Oryctolagus cuniculus: one gene and its partner. Each later gene encodes a partner of the first gene's protein in a complex. Links are inferred from orthologs where the notes say so. Each region holds a gene or a part of one and is shown on either strand. Other genes may lie near its edges.

Evidence for each region. Proteins that work in one complex are often made in the same cells at the same time.
Region 2: the proteins of SNRNP200 (region 1) and C1H9orf78 are in contact, whole or in part, in a cryo-EM structure (PDB 7OS2), measured with the Homo sapiens proteins. The link is inferred for Oryctolagus cuniculus from reciprocal best matches to the Homo sapiens genes SNRNP200 and C9orf78. Residues at the interface, in NP_054733.2 of Homo sapiens: Val1188, His1189, Leu1190, Gln1191, Glu1201, Pro1283, Ser1285, Arg1287, His1288, Leu1289, Asp1729, His1730, Asn1769, Tyr1770, Asn1772, Gln1774, Gly1775, His1780, His1784, Leu1788, Gln1791, Asp1795, Gln1798, Ser1799, Tyr1826, Thr1827, Glu1830, Leu1831, Met1834, Ser1835; in NP_057604.1 of Homo sapiens: Arg5, Lys6, Ile7, Phe8, Arg9, Arg10, Arg11, Glu16, Ser17, Glu19, Glu21, Asp23, Ser24, Glu25, Val27, Arg28, Lys30, Leu31, Thr34, Arg35, Val37, Gln38, Arg41, Arg43, Pro44, Asn45, Gly46, Val47, Ser48, Ala49.

What each region holds. Positions count from the first base shown.
Region 1 is NC_091433.1:111,300,514-111,304,021, reverse strand, and holds part of SNRNP200 (U5 small nuclear ribonucleoprotein 200 kDa helicase), read right to left. Parts: intron 3,462-3,508; coding exon 3,283-3,461; intron 3,101-3,282; coding exon 2,949-3,100; intron 2,121-2,948; coding exon 2,012-2,120; intron 383-2,011; coding exon 274-382; intron 1-273. UniProt on the Homo sapiens protein: Catalyzes the ATP-dependent unwinding of U4/U6 RNA duplices, an essential step in the assembly of a catalytically active spliceosome. Plays a role in pre-mRNA splicing as a core component of precatalytic, catalytic and postcatalytic spliceosomal complexes.
Region 2 is NC_091432.1:232,670,275-232,674,341, reverse strand, and holds the start of C1H9orf78 (splicing factor C9orf78 homolog), read left to right. Parts: upstream 1-1,262; 5' UTR 1,263-1,375; coding exon 1,376-1,458; intron 1,459-1,715; coding exon 1,716-1,775; intron 1,776-3,023; coding exon 3,024-3,075; intron 3,076-3,167; coding exon 3,168-3,238; intron 3,239-3,898; coding exon 3,899-3,976; intron 3,977-4,067. UniProt on the Homo sapiens protein: Plays a role in pre-mRNA splicing by promoting usage of the upstream 3'-splice site at alternative NAGNAG splice sites; these are sites featuring alternative acceptor motifs separated by only a few nucleotides. May also modulate exon inclusion events.

The DNA.
Region 1 (3,508 bases):
TAGACACACGAGTAATAAAAAAAAAAAAAACAAGAGAAACATGTCCAAAATGTGGCATTGCTGGCTATAATCTACAGCAGGAACGGGACACACTAAGTCACATGGGCAGAACAGTAAGCAGTGTGTGAGGAAAGATGGCGCCATCCAGTGGGCAAAGACTTCAACAGAGAGTGGCAACAGCAATAGCAAATTAAAAGGCAGCGGAGCTCCATGTGGCTTAGTGGCTTATGAGAGAATCCATGTGAAGGTGGTGTCACCCAGGCCAGCACTGACCTTTTTGGAGCCCTGACACATGATAACACAGCGGCCCTCATCGTCCTGCAGAGGGCGGTTGGCGTGGCCCACCATCTGAAGCACGTCATATATGGGGTAATCCACGTAGCTGTGATGGGGAGAGCAAGAGATGCATCACCAGGGGGACTCCTCAGAAGCCTGCCTGCCTTCCACATCAAAGTGCAAACATGGGGACATGTGGTCAAATATAGCAAGACTCTTTATGAACTTTTTATGGATGAAATTAGTTTCATTTGATATTTCAGTTTTTAAGTGTAAGGGTCATGTATTTGTTGCTTGAACCAAAGCTACAAACCTATCTAATGTCAAAAAGCAAAATATGGGGCTGGCACTGTGGCGTAACAGGTAAGGTTGCTGCCTGCAGCGTCGGCATCCCAAATGGGCACCGGTTTGAGTCCCAGCTACTCCACTTCCAATCCAGCTCTCTGCTAATGTGCCTGGGAAAGCAGCTGCAGATGGCCCAAGTGCTTGGGCCCCGGCACCCACTTGGGAGACCTGGAAGAAGCTCCGCTTTGGATCAGCTCAGATCTAACCACTGTAGCCACTTGGGGAATGAACTAGTGGATGGAAGATCTGTCTTTCCCTCTCTGTAACTCCACCTTTCAAAAGAAATCTTAAAAAAAAAAAAAAAAAAAAAAAAGAAGCAAAATATTTCCCCACTGAAGGATCAAATGTGCAAGTCAAGGTTTCCAAACACAATAGCTGTGTACTTTCTGAGTTATCAAGCTACCTGACTTAAACCCAAACCTAGCAGCAGATTCAGGCATTAAAAATGAAGCCATAAAATAAAATAATCTGTATCTTAAGGAAAAGATTAAATTATTCATTTTCTAAGAAAGACTGGACTTTCTACTTGCCACTACACAGGGTGTGGGCATGACCAAGTCTATGAAGTCTTCCTAACCTATAAAACAGATTAACAACATAACCTGTAGCATTCCTCCTGGCTTGCTATGCTCTGAGTAAGATCTGCCTATCCAACTCACACAGATGTTTAATCCCCAAAGTTGTAAACCTTCCTCTGTACACCCTTCATGCCCATCAGATGCCAGACCAAAGGAGATGCCCAATCTTGGTCTGTGAACCTCCAAAACTGTTAAATAAAATTAACTTCCTGGGGTCAGTGCTGTGGCATTGTGGGTTAAGCCTCTGCCTGTGGCACCAGCATCCCAAATGGGTGCCGGTTCAAGTCCTGGCTACTGCATTTCTGATCCAGCTCCCTACTAATGGTCTGGTAAAGCAGTGAGAGATGGCCCAAGTGCTTGGGCCCCTGCACCCATGTGGGAGACCCCGAAGAAGCTCCTGACTTCAGATAGGCCCAGCTCCAGCCCTTGTGGCCATTTGGGGAGTAAACCAGCAGATAGAAGACCTCTCTATCTGTAACTCTGCTTCTTAAGTAAATAAATAAATCTTAAAAAAAAATTAACTTCCTTCATAAGCAGATTCTCTCAGGTAAGACACAGCTAATCAAATGCATAAAGCTAATACATGGCTCTAACTTCCTGGTTCTCCCACACGCTGAAATATGAAAATAACTAAAAACCAAATGTGCAACTAGTTCCAAGACAAAATCCTCACAGCACATGGCTGCGGTAGAATTTCAGCTGCGTATTTATTTCCCTTATACTTTTTCTTCATAGTATCTTCATTTCTGCGTCTGCAGACTAAGTTCACTTCAGGAGGGAAGTTTGTTAATGCAGAGCCCAACCATACTCACGCATGGATCTTGCCATTGTAGTACTGGGTGTCCATGATGATCACCAGGTGGGCAGCCACACTCATGCCCCAGCAGAGACTCCGAGAAGCCACCACCACCTGGATAGCCCCTGAGCAGCAGAGGGAAAAGAAGACTCAAGGCAGGGCTCTCTGGACAAATCAGGATCTCTGTCTCATGCACAGGCAGCTGTTTCAGAACTCAGAGCTAGGCTGGTGGGGATTGAGGTCTGACATGACTCAGAGACCTAACAGCGCTACATGAAAGGTAACCCTGCTACTGCTGCCTTGCTCCAAGGACCATCCCAGAGGAAATGAGGCTATCCTGGAACAGAATCCAAAGGCTAGGGAAAGCAAGGCTTATACTACAGTGGCAAGGACTGGCCCCGTCAGTGGCAAGTACTAACACCAACTCAGCCACAGGCTAGCTCAGCAAAAGGAAGCAAAATCGAACTAACCATGAGCATGCCCCAAGCTAGACAGGCTCAAGTGTGGAAGAGGGACAGTGATTCTGGCAGGGCCACTGCAGGTCCACCAGGCAGTATCAAAGTGGCACCACTCTGAAACGCCATAGGTAAACAAGGGACAGTGACCAAGAGACCGCTGAAGGGACAATCAGAGCTCTACTGCATATTAATGTCTGAGATCCACCCACCTTAGGGAGTCAGGTATCCATGGAAAACCATGTAGTGCTGAAAGTCTTAGACTTTAACACCTTAGATGTGCCTGTTTCCTCATCTAAAGAGTAGGGATATTTGTACCCCCTATACCACAAGGTTCTTGAGAGGATCAAATAAGGTGATGGAATAATCCCAACAGTACTTCAAAAACGAGTGTGCTGTGGGAAAACATCACCCACACCCTGAAGTCTGACACATGCCAATTGGTAGGAGCCTTGGACACGATCTCACTCCACACCATGAGGTGTTTTTTTTTTTTACCTGAACTGAAGAGCTGTTCCACCAAGCGTCGCTCCATGGGGCTGAGCCCTTCATGCAGGTAGCCCACCCCGTTTAGCAGTGTTTCCTTGAGTGTGCTGTCACTTAGCTTCTCCAGGTATGGGATCAGATCCTTCTCCGTGCAGTGCAAAAACCTGAGTGACGTAAGCACTGACTCAGCTCAGAGTGGCTCGGTTCTGAGGCAGATAGCTACCAGCCAAGCAGCCCTAGCCCCAAATCTGATGGGGCTACCGCCGACCCTTATCAACAGAGCACCCTTCAGGGTGGGCCAACTTCCCTCACCCTCACCCTCACCCTCCCCCAGGCCCGGGCCCACCTCTGCCGTTGGATGTCTGCTGCACATGTGGTGAGGATGTCGATTGCAGTGAGGCGGGTCTGCTTGCGTGATGGGACAAAGACAATGACAGGCTTCTTGGGGGAGTGCTTGGTGATAGCGTGGTACACAGGCTTGGCCATGGACAGCAGGCGAGTCTGTGTGTGGCTGATGTTGAAGCCCTGGAGACCAAGGAAGAAACAACACACACAGGCTCCCAAACCTGGGT
Region 2 (4,067 bases), on another chromosome or scaffold:
GACCGCTGGGTGTCGCCGGGCTCTCCTGGAGTGGGGTGGGAAGGGGGCCCGCGAGTCCACCTTGGTGGGAGGGCCCCGATCGGGCAGCTGCAGACGGCACTGGCTGGGTGCCCACAGCACACCCACGCGTCCGGCGCGCGCCGTGTGCATCTGGGCCTGGCTGAGCCAGTGCGCCCCAGGCAGGCTTCTGAGGCTTTGCAGACACCAAGGGGCTGTGCCAAGCAGTGCCGAGGCTCCTGGCGGCCCCATGGCCAGGAGCAGCAGCACCCATCAGAGGGACCGGCGAGGCACTGCCCTGGTCCCGGCGCGGGAGCCCAGCCCAGCCTCCGCAGGCCCCGCCCTCGGCTGGGCAGCCCGGATAGCCGCGCTGGGCCCGCCGGCCCGGCTCCACCTTCAGTATCCGCACTGCAAAGCGCAAAGCGGCTGCACGCATTTCGCAGGGTTCTGAGAGCCTCCAAGGCGCCTGCCACGTAGCAAGCCACACAACCCGAGGGCCGTCTCCCGACAGCACGGGCCCGGCCGGCCCCTGGAGACGACACGGACACTCGGACCTGCGCCACGGCCGGGCGCTGCAGGAGCCCCGCGTCGCACGTCCAGTGTACGCTCCCGGCACCTCTCCGGGGCGGGGCGCTGGAGGGGCGACCCAGCCCGCGAGCTCCCGCGGCCCTCGGGGTCGGCGCTGGGGCTGTAACCCGCCACCGCCGAGCAGCGGTCATCTTTTGTCCCGCAAGAGAAAAACGCACGTCAGGGCCCCCGGGAAACCAAAGCCACAGAGCCCCGAACGCCACGCGCAAGCCTCCAACGCCGCGTCAGAAAGCAACCCGGAGGCCGGCCTCCGTCCCGGCCTGCAAGCGGGGCGCCGGCACCCCAGAGGCCCCTCACGGGCGCCGGCCGCGAAAGCCAAAAGTGGCGGCGGCGCCGAGGAGGAGGCCACGGGCTCCGCTCACCTGGCCGCGGCGTGCGGCGCCGCTGGCCCGACCAGGCCCCGACCGCCCGGAGCGGGGCCAGCTGGGGTCGCTCCTCAGGAGAAAGGCCCGGCCCCCCTGAAGCAGCCTGCGGCGGCCCGGAACTCACCTGCCGCCGCCACAGCCCCCGCCGCCGCCTGTCAGTCAAGCGAGCCCTCCGCCGCGCTGCGCAGGGTCGTGCAGTCCGCTCGGCCGCGCCCCGCCTCCTCCCCCACAGCCGTCCAATCGGGCGAGGCCGGCGCCACGGGGGGGGCGTGGTCACGCGGGGGCGGTGCTGGTCGAGGGCGGGACCTGCTGGTTGGGGGCGGGGCCAGAGGGGCCGGCGCTCTGACATCACTGCGGCGCGCCGGAAGCGGCCCCCTGCCACTGTCCAGCGGCGGGGCGCCGGGACCGCCGGCCCGGCTGCCGCTATGCCAGTCACCGGGAAGACTTTCCGGCGGCGCCGGGCCGACTCGGAGTCGGAAGAAGATGAGCAGGACTCAGAGGAGGTTCGGTGCGTTGGGGGCGGGGCTCGTGCAGACCCGGAGCAATGTGCTTGGGGGACTGACCGCCGGCCAGGCCCAGCGCGGACGCTTGAGAATTGGGGTTGTGGACGGAGAAATTGAGGCGCCTGGGGGTGAGGTAGGAGCCCCAGGGCCGGGCAGCTGCGAGCGGGCGCGTGGAGGAGCTGACTGCGGTGGGCCCAGGCGCCGGGTCGCCCTCCGGCCTCGGCAGCAGACTCAGCCTGTGCGTGGTTTTTTGTTTTTCCAGATTAAAACTGGAGGAGACCCGAGAGGTGCAGAACTTGAGGAAGAGGCCCAACGGCGTGAGGTGGGTCCTGCGGACGCGAGGAGGACGGGGCAAGGGTGACGGACACTGCCGGCCAGGGACCCGCGTTCCCGGCCGCGACGCTTAGCCGGGACGTGCCCTGAGCCCTGTAGCCCGGGGCTGTGTCCCAAAGCTACCGCACGCCAGCAACTGCCCCCGGTGAATATGGGATGCCGGCAGTGCGGGCGGCGGCTTTAACCTGCTGCGCCACAGCGCCAGCCGGGACTCCGGTTCGAGTCCTGGCTGCTCCACTTCTGATCCAGCTCTCTGCTGTGGCCTGGGAAAGCGGTGGAAGATGGCCCAAGTGCTTGGGCCCCTGCACCCGCGTGGGAGACCTGGAGGAAGCTCCTGGCTCCTGGCTTCAGCTCGGCGCAGCTCCAGCCGTTGCGGCCATCTGGGGAGTGAACCAGTGGATGGAAGACCTCTCTCTCTGTCTCTCCCCCTCTTTCCCTCTCTCCCTCTTTCCCTCTCTCCCTCTTTCCCCCTCTCTCTCTCTCTCTGTCTCTACCTCTCTCTGTAACTCTTTCAAATAAACAAATGAATCTTTTAAAACAAAAAAGATTTATTGATTTAAAGGCAGAGTTACAGAGAGAGAGATCTTCCATCGCTGGTTCACTCCCCACATGGCTGCAACAGCTGGGGCTGAGCTGAAGCCAGGAGCCAGGAGCTTCTTCCAGGTCTCCCACGCGGGTACAGGGGCCCAAGGGCTTGGGCATCTTCTACTGCTTTCCCAGTTGCACTAGCAGGGAGCTGGATCGGAAGTGGAGCAGCCGGGACTCGAACCAGCGCCCATGTGGGAAGCCAGTGCTTCAGGCCAGGGCGTTAACCCACTGCACCGACCCCAGAAAACCTTTTTGAGGGATGTTTAACATCCCAGCAGATGTACAGACTGTAGTCTGTCAGCAGCTCTCCTCCTCTGGGACACGTAGGCCGTGTAAATGTGCACCAGCCGTAGAGCCGCAGTATTATTCTCTTACACTTGTCTCCAGCTCACCTGCAGAGTCCCTTTCGGCAAAATCTTGAAAATGAGATCGCCAGGCCAGGGTGGTGTCCGCTGGTGTCCACCTCACTCAGCACCCCCTCCCCAGCACCCACAGTGCTCGTGAGCCCTGGCTCGGTCCTGGGGTCTTCCGCTGGCTCTGGTGTCTGCCTCTCAAATGCCGCCCTAAAGTGACGTCGCACCTTCAGGCCTGAGTGTGCCTGAGTGGTCTCGGGGTGTGCGAGTCCTCTCTCCTCTCTGGTTCTGCTCAGTGCTGCCGCCCTGCTGGTGGGAGAGAAGGTACAAGAAGAGACCACGCTGGTGGTAAGTATGGGGTCCTCCGCGTGGCCGCTGTTCCGTGGCCGGAAGCCCCGCCGCGTGTGCAGCTGCCTCCCTGCGCCGTCTGCTCCCCGCAGGACGACCCGTTCCAGATGAAGACGGGCGGCATGGTGGACATGAAGAAGCTGAAGGAGAGGGGCAAAGAGAAGTAAGTGCGGGCGGGCGGGGCGGCCCCTCGGCCTGCGCCCAGCTCCACGCGTGCGCCCGGCCGTTCCGCGTGACGGGGCCGCTTCTGCAGGAGAGAGGCTCACCCAGCCCACAGCCCTGGTTTCTCAGCCGCGTCTGGCGGTGGCCTGAGGTGGAAGAGACAGGCAGTGGCTGGGCGTGTGGCCTCTGCTTCTCTGTCCTCCCAGCCTCACCAGGGCGCGCTCGTGGGCGCCCCCTCTGAGCACCGCCGGCCTCAGTACCTGACCCTGGGATGGCCTGTCACCACGCGGGCCCTTGGGACCGGGCAGAAACGACACCGACTGGCAGCGAGCTCGGCGGGGGCGGGGGTGCCCCTGTGCCCGTGGTCTCTCGACCCCTGGGGGTCTAAGAGTGCTCTCAGATAGTTCACAAGCTTAAGGACCACCGCTCATTCCCCACGGGGGCGCCGGAGGCCCTGGTCTCCTGCCGGGCGTCCTGGGCTCCTCCGCGTGTCCCGCCATCCCGCAGCGTCTGCTTTCTCCGGCCCTGAGCAGGGCGTCTCCTGTGCTCGGCCTTCCTCACTGCGCAGCGCACACACACACACACACCCACGCACACACGCACACACGCCCCGCCCAGGGTGACGGCGGCTCCGCCCACTCGGCTCTGTCCCCGCTTGCAGGATCAGCGAGGAGGAAGACCTCCACCTGGGGACGTCGTTCTCCGCAGAAACCAACCGCAGGGACGAGGACGCGGACATGTAGGTGTCTCCTGGCCGCGCCCTCGGAGCTGGCATTTCTAGAATTTTCCTGGAAGACACCGAAGTTGCCCCTCCTCCCGCCTCTCGGGCT